Macaca mulatta: one gene and its partners. The protein of the gene in region 1 interacts with the protein of each later gene in a pairwise test. Links are inferred from orthologs where the notes say so. Each region holds a gene or a part of one and is shown on either strand. Other genes may lie near its edges. The genes, in order: UBE2U, RNF144B and TRIM32.

Region 1 (4,305 bases):
CGTGTGCCCCTCTTTTGCAAAAAAGGATGGCATGTCATAGTTTGCCAATGGGAGAAACTCACCAGAGATTTGGCAGGTGGGAGGGAAGTCAAGGCCATTATGCTTGGGAAGTTGTTCATATCAGGCATGGTGGGTTCCTCAGATACGGCATTTTCACACGTCTCTCCACAGCCTCACTTCACAGACACGGTGGCTGCACAGACATCCCCATGAACTCCTCGTTTTTGTCGCAATTTGGGTGGCTAAATGTGTGCAGCTTCTTGTACTCCATGAGCTTCTGGTTTCCCACTCATGTCAGTGCATCAGGATCATGACTGTTTTTTCAATTCTCCAGCTGTAGCTTCCAGATCTTCACTCCCCTGGGTCCTCCCACACCTGGATAATCCCAAATTCCTGTGTTAGATTCTCACTCTTGTGTTACTTGTAGTGGCTCTGTTTTCCTAACTGAATCCAGACTGAAAACAGGACTGAATAGAGATAAACCATTTGTTAATCATCAGAGCCCATCAGTCAGCACAGGTTTTACTATCTTTACTAGCTAACCTATTTTCAGATTAAAAAATAAATTATCAGAGGCAGAGTTTCCGTGATCCAACCCAAGAAAGGCATGGAAAATATAAGGCAGTTAGAATTTGTGCTTCCATAACTTATTTTGTTAACATAGTAACAAAATCCCCTCCTTTATTACTGATTCCAACCACCAAATCCAAGGTGTCTCAGAGGGATTTATAAAGCTTAAGATTTCCTGGAGAAGAAATTCAAAATAATCTTTTTTTTATGTTCTAAAGAAACATTTCTATATTTATTTCGCATTATACTCTGCTGATCTAGCCAGGTTTCTTTTTATGCTTCCTGGGAGATTTTAACAGGGCAGGAACTAAGAGGGCAAATAGTCAAGGTGGTTGATTCCCAACTTTCATTCCACGCCAGCAACTCATGTCAGCCAATCATGGTGATCTCATTTCCCTTACCAGTAACTAGTTTAGAGATGGGGTGGGGTGCAGTAGCTCACACCTGTAATCCCAACACTTTGGGAGGCCAAGGTGGGCAGATCACCTGAGATCAGGAGTTAGAGACCAGCCTAGCCAACATGATAAAACCCCATCCCTACTAAAAATAATAATAATAATTAATTAATTAATGTTTAAAAAATAGCTGGGTGTAGTGGTGAACTCCTGTAGTCCCAGTTACTTGGGAGGCTGAGGTGGGAGAATCACTTGATCCCAGGAGGCGGAGGTTGCAGTGAGCTAAGAGCCCGCCACTGCACTCCAGCCTGGGCAACAGGAGTGAAACCCTGCCTCAAAAAGAATAAAATTAAATTAAAATAAAAGAAAGGGCATGTGACAGGATCCTGCTTGAGGGGAAATATGCTGGGTGCTTCAGGGGATGGTTTTCCCATCCACTCTTAAAAATGAGCTCTTGGTGAGAAGTCCGCTTTTTCCTCTGGATGTTGCTGTGCCCGGTGTGGTTACTAGAATGGCTGTAGCTCTCTTGCTGTGCACTGTGAAGATGAAGACAACACCTCAGTTAGCAAAGCAAGCAGTGAAAAGAATTGTGTCCTTCGTGACATTGTGGAGTCACCGCAATATTCAATCCTGCCCTCCACTCTGGCTTTTATCTTATGTGAGATAAAACATTCTCCTATTGTTTAAACTGGGTTGACTTGGCTCTATATTTCTTGTAATCAAAAGCATGTGGAATCAGAAAGGCCCAAACATGGTTAGAAAGAACTGGAGTTAGTCCATCAATAATATGTTCATGGAAAATAAAGGAGATGCTTTTCTCAAGGCACAGACAGAATTTAGTTTTAAATTAGTTACAACTAAATATTAGCATCGAAAGTATGAAAATTAAAAATCACTGGGGGCCTCAGGATACCCATAGGATAATGGTGACTGTGTAAACTCAAATCTCTCTATGTATCTTTCTCTCTTTGTTTTGTTTTGAGATGGAGTCTCACTCTGTCACCCAGGCTGGAGTGCAGTGGGTCAATCTCAGCTCACTGCAACCTCTGCCTTCTGAGTTCAAACGATTCTCCTGCCTCAGCCTCCAGAACAGCTGAGATTACAGGCTCCTGCCACCACACCCGGCTAATTTTCGTATTTTAGTAGAGACAGGGTTTCACCATGTTGGCCAGGCTGGTCTCGAACCCCTGACCTCAAGTGATCCACCTGCCTTGGCTTCCCAAAATGCTGGGATTACAGGTGGAAGCCACCATGCCTGGCCTCTCTGTGTATCTTTCTATAAACCAAAGAGAGAAGGAAAACAAGTCACTTGTAGCCTATGTCTATAACATTAGAAGACAACAAGTATTATAGGGTTTATTTCATATGTAAGTGAGGGAAATAAACATATAAGGCAAACAAAATTTGTCCTGGAATCCATAATCGGCAGTGAATCTGGTGACAGCTAGGAAAAAGGGGAGAGAATGCAGTGAGGTTTTAGAGTTAACAGAACATAAATAGCACCAGCTAGAGTTCATCCCCAGAAAGCGAGGTCCCCATGCTGTGTGGAAATATAGATCTAGAAATATAGACATTATATCTATATTCTTCTTTTGAAAAGTATAATCAGTTTATTTCCCTGTTTGCAAGGCCTGTAAGATAAAGATGAAAGTCCTTTGCATGACATGTGAGGCTTTCCTGATCTGGCTTCAGCCTCCCTTCCAGCTCCACGAAACTTTCTGTATACTATAACATTGTGGTTTTGGATAGACAGATCTGGGACGAGTCTTGTTATTAGCTGGATATCTTTGGTTAAGTTACTATAGGTCATTCAGCCTTAGTTTCCTCATCTGTAAAATAAGAATACTAATACCTGCCCATCACAAGGGTTGTGTCTGAGTTAAATAATATTATAGCTGTCGACTGCTGAGCACCGCACCTGGCACAGTGGAAGTGCGGGAGAATCCACTCTGATCACACCTAACCCTGTCAAGTCCTCTCATACCTTTGTGCTTATATGATGCATGCTGTTTCTTCTAACATGTTCTGACCTCCCTTCTCTGTCTAACAAACTGCTCCTCCTGTTTCAAAGCCCGAGTCTGTTTTCACTTAGACATAGTGATTCCCTCCCTGTGCTCCCAAAGCAGCTTTTCCCTTGCACATCAACCGGCCGTTAGCAGGGACCCAGTAAATATATATGTTAAATGAATGAACTAACAAAGCATCAAAAGATTGAGCAAGATGGAAGAATGATTTATGACAAATAAAGTTACTTATAAAACATGAAGTTTAGAAAGTGTAAAAAAGGTTGCTCGCATTCATTCAGATGGTCTTTGGCATTATCCTACAAATGCAGGAACACTCTTTTCATTGTTTTTCCTGTATGTCTATTAAATTTCTGTTTTTTATAGTTCCCACCACAGATGAAATTTTTCTTGAGTCACCAACTGCAATAAATAGCATCACAAACATTTACGAAACAGAAGAGGAGGGGTGGAAGAGTGACACTTCATTATATGAAAATAACACAGATGAGCCCTGGGAAGAGGAAGTGGAAGATCTAATCTCCTGGATCAACACTCTCAATACAAATACTTTAGAAGATTAAGCAGAACATTATCAGGTTAAAAAACTGAACAGCCTCCACCATAGCCCAGTGTTGTGGAGCAATTTTGGAAGACTCTCAGAACTTGGATTTCATTTTTTTCAGGCTGTTCTCACCCGCTCACTGCAAGTACAAGCAAGTACAAATTAGAAATATAAGTACAAATCAGTAAAGATGTTGCTTTGACTTTCTTTAGAACTAAGTTACCGAAGTTAGGGATGTTCATTGCCATATGCCAATCAATGGTGTGACACTCCCACAGTTTTTAGGCTACTGGACACAAGTTTTTGCAGGCAGAGAATGGGTCAGAAAGAGGCTGGGATAGGAGGGGAGCAATTAAGAGCTTCAGAGGCTGGACATGACCTCAAATAGCAGGATCTATACATGGACCTACATCTGCCTGCTTTCTTGTCTTGTTTCCTCCATATTCAAGGAATGAGATGTCACTATTTACTAATGTTTCTCTTCTGTTTTATCCCAGAGTACATGGGAACATATCTGTCACCCCAAAAGTTTCCCCTGCTTCATGGTAATACGTCTCTCCTGCTCCTATTTCCTGCCCTTACTTTTCATAAGATCAGTCAGTATCACTGATCTGCTTTCTGTCACTGCAGATTAGTGTGCAATTTCTAGTTTTATATAAACTAGACCTTCTATCTCCTTGTATTCTTATAACTTTATTTTCTCTGTCTCTTTTTGCCATGTTGTCTCAACCTATACGTATGCTTGGGTCTCTCCTATTCTAAAATATGTCTC
Region 2 (3,649 bases), on another chromosome or scaffold:
TCTGTCTCTTAGTAACTCCACTATTGCTCTTAGTTAAGCTCTGTAACCCATTCCTAAGGAATAAGGACTTCTAATGAAGGAATTGTGTAGAAAACTGTAATGTTTTCCCCATTTTTCTTTTTCTACACTCCTTTGCATGGTCCTTTATGTGCTGTCATAATAGTGAAAAATACAGAAGGTCACTGTTTTCTGTTGGCCAAACTCTTTCCTTGCTTTCATTGGACTGTGCCATAGCTGCACTGCACCATAGCTGCACTGCTTACTTTCTTTTTAGTAATTCATCAAAACCTATCATTGCTCCTTTATTTATTGTCTGTGCTTCCATTTTGTCACCCCAGATACCTGAAATAATAAGCTGATAGAAACAAGTCAGAACTTGTACCAAGTAGTTTTAATTGATTAGAGCTACGAGAACAAGTTGCATCCTTGTATCTTTTTAAGGTGATCACTAGGGATGCTATACATTTTAACAGTAATATGTGTTTTAACTTTCCTTTCCGTTTTCCTTCTTTTTCATCAAACTTTTAAAAGACCTCTGATTTAGAAGGGATGCTAAGTAGATATTTGATATGGGAGTCTCACTCTCAGTTACATACTAACCTTCATTTCTTTGGGCTTAGTATTTGTGAAGCGGTTGTCATAGTTTGGAAGAAAATATTAAATGGTGTAGAAATAAAAGACCAAGACCTTAGATCCTATGTGTGCCACTGTTTCCTTGACTTCTTAAGGTTTTAGGGATCTTGGAGGGTCCATCTCTGTTGGGGTCTGAGCATCTGTGAATTACAGGATTTTCCTCCTTGTGATTGCATTTGTGTGAAAGGCTCATTGTTCTTTGACCCCCACCCTCCAGAATTCCTAGATAAGACCATATGTTTAAGGATACAATTTTTGAAGGAAAACTTATAACAACCCAAATGTCCATCAGTGACAGACTGGATTAAGAAAATGTGGCACATATACACCATGGAATACTATGCAGCCATAAAAAAGGATGAGTTTGTGTCCTTTGTAGGGACATGGATGCAGCTGGAAACCATCATTCTTAGCAAACTATCACAAGAACAGAAAACCAAACACCGCATGTTCTCACTCATAGGTGGGAACTGAACAATGAGATCACTTGGACTCGGGAAGGGGAACATCACACACCGGGGCCTATCATGGGGAGGGGGGAGGGGGGAGGGATTGCATTGGGAGTTATACCTGATGTAAATGACGAGTTGATGGGTGCAGCACACCAACATGGCACAAGTATACATATGTAACAAACCTGCACGTTATGCACATGTACCCTAGAACTTAAAGTATAATAATAATAATAATAAAAGATAGATCCAATTATTTCATTTCTAGGCAAGACATCAGTGGAGACAGTAGTTTACCAGAACATTTCAGACTTTCTCCCTGATATTGAATGTGTAAAATTATTGACTTTCGAAACTAAATTCCTACTTAATACCTTTATTTTCTTTTTGCACCATCCTTTGGATTTGTTTGCCTCATGTGTGTACATTTCTAGGAATCATGAAATCATGAGCCCTAGGAGGTTTAAAACTAGAATCTCGTCAGTTCAAAATTTGCAAAATACATGAGTCCAGAGAAAAAAGGGGTACTCTACCCCTCAAATAACATTTTTTTACATGGTATGTTCCCTTAAAGGTCACAGTATATGGAAAGAACGTGGGGTCTGCTACTGAGTAAAAAAGAGATACCAAGCAAGACTTTCAAATCCTTGAATAAATGGCTGTCTATTCTCCAGCTCTACCTTCTTTCCTGCATGTCATATGGAACTAGCCTATGTGTTATGACTGGCTATTATAATGGTCTGTGAAAGTCTCTACCTTTTGTTTCTAGAACACGTGGGTCTTTTACACATTGTTCCTAACTTGCGTATTGGTGGGGAAGCAGAATATCCAAACTGACAGGTAATCCGACTTCTTGGCTAAGCCACACGAAATACTGTTTGGTCCCTCAACTATTTGATTATTTTCTTCCTTGTTCTTTAATTTCCTGGGAATGTGGAAGAAATCTCACTACCTGTTTCTCAGTGCCTGAAAGGACAAAGTCTTTTTGGAAAAATGCCTTATTAAAAATTTGCTTTTTATGTTCAATTCTCTTCCAGGATAGTGCCCAAATAATTGTAGAAGGGATTTGGGATTTTTGCCTATTTTACATGCTCAAAAGTGGGAAATATTCTAAAAGTTTTGTGAATTTTGTTTATAGAGAACACTTTTTATCTGTTCATAAAGGCAATGGTGAACTATTCCATTAGTACCTACTTGGAGAAATGTGGCAGGGCTTAGCGACCTTGTAAATGATAGGTTTGGATCCATTATGAAGACTAAGAGTCTTATACTTCTATAAACGTCAGTTTAAAAAAGAGAGTAAATGGGGCAAGTGCGGTGGCTCATGCCTGTAATCTCAGCACTTTGGGAGGCCAAGGTAGGCATATCACTTGAGGTCAGGAATTCGAGATCAGCCTGGCCAACATGATGAAACCCGTCTTTACTAAAAATACAAAAATTAGCCAAGCATGGTGGTGTGCACCTGTAGTCCCAGCTATTTGGGAGGCTGAGGCAGGAGAATCGGTTGAACCCGGGCGGGGGAGGTTGCAGTGAGCTGAAATCGTGCCACTGCACTCCAGCCTGGGCAACACAGTGAGACTGTGGTTCCAAATACATTATATAAATAAAAGGGCAAATGAAGGTGAGAAAGACTCAAACGTGAATCGGGCAGACCATCACATTTTCTTTCTTTACACTTTAGAAGTTCATCTGGACCCCTACCGAACATGGTGTCCTGTTGCAGACTGTCAGACAGTGTGCCCTGTTGCATCGAGTGACCCAGGACAGCCTGTGCTGGTGGAATGCCCTTCTTGCCACCTGAAATTCTGCTCGTGTTGCAAGGATGCTTGGCATGCAGAGGTCTCCTGTAGAGACAATCAGCCTGTTGTCCTGCCAACAGAGCACAGGTAAGAAAGGAAACTTTGTCTTTGGGATTATTCACTAGTTTTCTTAGAAACTCAACATACGTTACATGTAGAAGGAATTACGTTGTGATGGCGTTTAGAGATTGGTTGTTTTCTTGCAGAACTTCCCGTAGAAGTGTCTCAGAATTGGTAAGTTGCCAATACAAAAGCATTTCTAGTTGTTCGCCCCAGAGGAATCTTCCAGATATTGCTGGAATTAAAGTTTGTATGAGTTTTGCTTTCTCTTTAGGTAGCAAGGCACTGTGGTCTACTGGTTCTCAGTAGGAAATTGTGACTTGTCCCAGCCATTTGCTCAGATGCCGTATCTGCCTGTATTGGGATATATTATTCTTGTTGCTTGCAAAATGAGACAGAAATTTTCTTAGCTGACTAAATTGCCAGCTCATGATGTGTGACAGTCATATTAGAAAGAATGCAGGAATAGAAACAATGGTCCTAAATTATTTCAGCACATAGAAAGGAGGGTTCTCTCGTGATACTTTATGCTCTGTAAAGGTTGAGATTTTGTTGTGATAGGAAGCAATTAAATCTGTACCTTTTTAGTACAGTGGGGTTTTTGTTTTGTTTTGTTTTGTTTTTGAGACAGAGTCTTGCTCTGTTGCCTAGGCTGGAGGGCAGTGGCATGATCTTGGCTCACTGCAACCACCGCCTCCTGAGTCC
Region 3 (4,087 bases), on another chromosome or scaffold:
TTGGCCCTGGCCTATGCTGTACAATTCCTTAGACACAGGCCAGAAGAGAGAGGTAGTATGAAAAACGATGAGCCCTAGAGACTATCCAAGTTTGCTGACTATATCAGCATTTGTTTGCTTATTCCTAGCTTCCTATGCTTTGGCATAATTCCAATCCATATTATGCTTCTTTAAAAGGCAAGCAATTTCCAGGCTGAAGTCGTCAATACCAACCAACTAGGGTCAATCCATTCTGTCACATCTGCAGTTCTCAATCCAAGATGGCACAGATCCTCCAGGCGAGAGGTACTGCTTCCTAAAGGGCCTGTGTATCCCCTTTGGTAGCACTAAATGAATGAGCTTTCACACTGGTAAAGACGATCAGACTGAGACATAATGTTACAGGAATATGTCTGAAATGTCACTGAAAGGTGGAGCATATCCCACTGAAGCATGCACAGTGAATCCAATCAGAGTTGAAGAGAAAGTGTCACAGATGAAGCACATTGTAATAGGAAGGAAACAATGGATCAAGGGCATCAGAGCCAAACGGGAAAAAATCAAGGATTTAATACAAGGGCACATTTCAAACATGGCACAAAGGGCTAAAGTGGCTCTCTCTACTAAAGCCTTGGAAGTGCCTAATTGCTAATCAAACTTCAGCTAACACCATTGCGTGTCCTATTTGGGCAGTGCATCTTTTAAAGCTCTAAATTTAGGTGGGAAGTGGGGAGGGGAAAATAACAAATAAAAAACATAAAAAGATGGAGCTTCTAAAGTTCTAGAACTACCCAGCTGGAATCAGGACATATGCCGAGTCTATTCTCTATGTGCCACTAACAACCAAGAACTATGGGAAGGGAAGCTGGCTTGGGAGCAGAAGAAAATGATATTTCTCATCCCCTATGGGGTGGAGTATCTTCTCAGATGGTAGCTGTAGATCTTGATGCAATGATCCCAACAGTCCAAGACCAGCAGCTGCCCCTTAGGAGTGAGGGCTATGCCCACCGGACAAGTAAGTCCCTCTCGAATAAGGACACTATAGCCCCCACCCTTAGGAAAATGGAGAATTTCCTTGCGACTACTGTCAGCCACAATGAGATCACCACGAGCATCCACACACATGCCAGCAATGCAGCGGAAATCCTCATTCTCCGAGAAGAAGTGGCTAATCTGGCGACCCAGCTGCCCATCGGGACCTACAGAACCAATGGAAAAGCCACCTTCCAGGTGGTGCTCATTCTGTCGATTCTCCAGATTGAGGCCTAAGCCCTGGGTGAAGTAGACGGTGCCCTCAGCATCACAGGTGACAAATTTGGGCCGCACAGCACTGCACAGGCAGCTGTATTTGACCACCCCTGATCCTCGATCAACTGTGAAACACCAAAGCTTTCCACCTTCCACATCAGTTACTACAAACTGGCCAGATGGCAGGGCTGTGATACCCCATGGTTTGCTCAGCTGGCTCCTGTGACAGGCCACACAGTGGCCATCCAAGGTATATACCTTGAGGGAGTTATCATAGCTGTCAGTCACACCAATCAGCCCCTGGCAGTTCATTGCCACTGAGAGAGGAGTGAGGTTGGGTAGATCCGCCCCAAGAAAGCTTAGCACAAAGCTATCAATGCCACTGGGGCTGCGGCGGATTTCCTTCAAAAAGCCTTTGCGGGTAAAGACTTGTATACGATAGTTACCACGGTCAGCAACTAGCACTTCACCTTGACTGGTCACGTAGAGACTGACTGGTAGATTGAACATTCCTGGAGTGCTGCCTTTGGCCCCCATCTTCTTGAGAAAGAGGCACTGCTGGATATTGGAGGCTGCCTCAGGACCCCGCTGTTTAGCAGGTGAGGCCCTAGGGCTGGCAACCACTTCCTCCGGGCTCATGTCCATCTCTCTAAATGTAACAGAGGTAGAAGCAGCAGAGGCTGCCGCCTCCATGGCCCAGGAATCTTCCATGTTAACTGTCCGGGGCTTCTTAACAGCTTGCCCAATTTGGAGGGGGCCAACATGACCTACCTTAAGGAGCTCCACATCTTGCAGGGTGAGCTCCCGAGGTAAGCTGGCAGTAAGCTCTGGCTCCTCCTCATCAGCTGTCTCCTCCAGGAGTGCTACATCTGCTTGCTTGATCTTGGCCAGGAAGTAGTCACAGCGAGACACAGCCTGCACCTCTGCAATGTTAAGAAGGTAACTCTGCTCCTCTACCACTTGACTATTGGACTTCTCAACTTCAGCCAAAGAGCCTGTGAAGAATTTCCGAGAGCGAGCCAGCTCATCCTGGACCCTGCGTTCCTCGTGTCCATACTCCTGGAGAACTGCTTTATACCTTGCCTGAAGGTCCTTGGAGACACCTTCCAAGGCTACCTTCCGCCGCTGCAGCTCCCCCATAAGTTCCCGCAGACGAGTCAACTTCTCTCCAAAGTCCCGACGCCGCTCCTCAGCGGCTTCTTTGACAGGGAGTGTACAGTGGCCAGGAGGCTGATGGTCTGCCTCCCGGCAGGGCTCACATAACACCAAACCACAGCTCCGGCAGAACTGCCGGGGCAGACGCCGCCCACAGGACCGACACATGAGCAGCCCCACAGCCTCGCTGAGCCCAGCTGTATCAATGATCTTTAGCACTGTCAGATTGTCTGTCAGCTGGGTCAAGCTGGTTATGCGGGTAATCTTGCTGCAAAAGGGACAGCGGACACCATTGATGCTACTGGCCAATAGCTTCTCCAGGCACTGGCGGCAGATGGTATGGCCACAGTGCAGGAGCTTGGGACGCAGCTGCTCTTCTGTGAAGGACTCCATGCAGATGGGGCATTCTAGCACTTCCCGGAGGGCATCCAGGTTCAGGTGAGAAGCTGCTGCTGCAGCCATTGCTATTCCTTTGAAGGGTACTGCTAGCACAGCTCAGAACTGAACAGCACAGTATTCATGCCCTAGAGGGTAAAATTCCTGCTAAAGAGAAAAAGAAACCATTATTCATTTTCCTCTGATTATATAAATCAATTCACTCAAGAAACATTTAGAGAATAGCTATGATCAGTCGTTCAGTCATTCACTTACTTAACTATTTTATTGAGGTCTATTATGTGTCATGTGAGGGTGACAGGGAAACAAACAAGACAAAACACTGCATAGAGGGTAATAATTCAGATTCTGGAATCTCAGACACTTACTTAGTTGCATGACCATAAGGAAGTAACTCAAACTTCCAAAAGCTCTTTCCCCATCACTCATCTGTAAAATAGAAAAATGGTGTCTACCTTATTCTATTATTGTAGAACAATCTATTATTGTAGAATAATGGTTATTGTAAGGGCTAAATAACAAGATAAATATGATGTGCTTAGTATATAGCACCAGGGAAGTAGTATACTTTAATAAATGCTAATGATTACTTTCATATTTGGTGAGTTTTACAACTTACAGTTTACACTAACAGAAAAGCACAGGAGAATTACGCACAGTAAAAGGAGTAAGTGTGACATGCAGGTCCACATAATGTTCTGCTGGAGTACAGTGGATGGAATGATAGATTCCACCTAACAGACTTGGGGAAGGCTTCCCAAAAGCAGTTTCACTCCTAAGATAAAGAAATGAAGGACTGAGGGATAAAGGTACTTTAAGCAAAGAAAACCATGTAAGCAAAAGTGTGGAGGCTGTTTTTTTTTTTTTCATCATGTCATAGAGTTTACTGTGTCATGTTTGGGGCCCTAGGAATCATCCACAGACTTAGAAAATTGTGATGATTAGCTTTAGGTAATCTGCAAAACATTAGATCAGAAAATACACATTTTCCATGCATCTATCCTCCTACCTACTCATCTATCCACCCATCTAAGTTTAGGTATCTTGTTCTGTACTAGATACAAGAGGTCTTCAGGATACAGATCCTGCTCTTCAGATATTCAAACTTTATAAAAGACAAGACATGTAGGCAAATAATAATGAAGGCAGAAAGTAGTACTATAAATGAAATAAAAACTAAGTTTGATGGGGGTTGAGGAGTCATTCTAATTTGAAGGGACACAGAATTTTCAAAAGGAAGATGACATTTTATATTGGCCTGGAAAGAAGCATAAACACACGGAGAGGGAAGAAAGGAGGCGGCAAAAGG

Evidence for each region.
Region 2: the proteins of UBE2U (region 1) and RNF144B interact in a two-hybrid assay, tested with the Homo sapiens proteins (2 studies listed by BioGRID and IntAct). The link is inferred for Macaca mulatta from reciprocal best matches to the Homo sapiens genes UBE2U and RNF144B.
Region 3: the proteins of UBE2U (region 1) and TRIM32 interact in binary tests that used the Homo sapiens proteins (3 or more experiments, as listed by UniProt). The link is inferred for Macaca mulatta from reciprocal best matches to the Homo sapiens genes UBE2U and TRIM32.

Annotation. Positions count from the first base shown.
Region 1 is NC_133406.1:176,364,821-176,369,125, reverse strand, and holds the end of UBE2U (ubiquitin-conjugating enzyme E2 U), read left to right. Parts: intron 1-3,367; coding exon 3,368-3,552; 3' UTR 3,553-3,722; downstream 3,723-4,305. UniProt on the Homo sapiens protein: Catalyzes the covalent attachment of ubiquitin to other proteins.
Region 2 is NC_133409.1:164,627,905-164,631,553, reverse strand, and holds part of RNF144B (E3 ubiquitin-protein ligase RNF144B), read left to right. Parts: intron 1-2,766; coding exon 2,767-2,971; intron 2,972-3,649.
Region 3 is NC_133420.1:41,594,556-41,598,642, forward strand, and holds TRIM32 (E3 ubiquitin-protein ligase TRIM32), read right to left. Parts: upstream 2,926-4,087; 5' UTR 2,845-2,925; coding exon 883-2,844; 3' UTR 16-882; downstream 1-15. UniProt on the Homo sapiens protein: E3 ubiquitin ligase that plays a role in various biological processes including neural stem cell differentiation, innate immunity, inflammatory resonse and autophagy.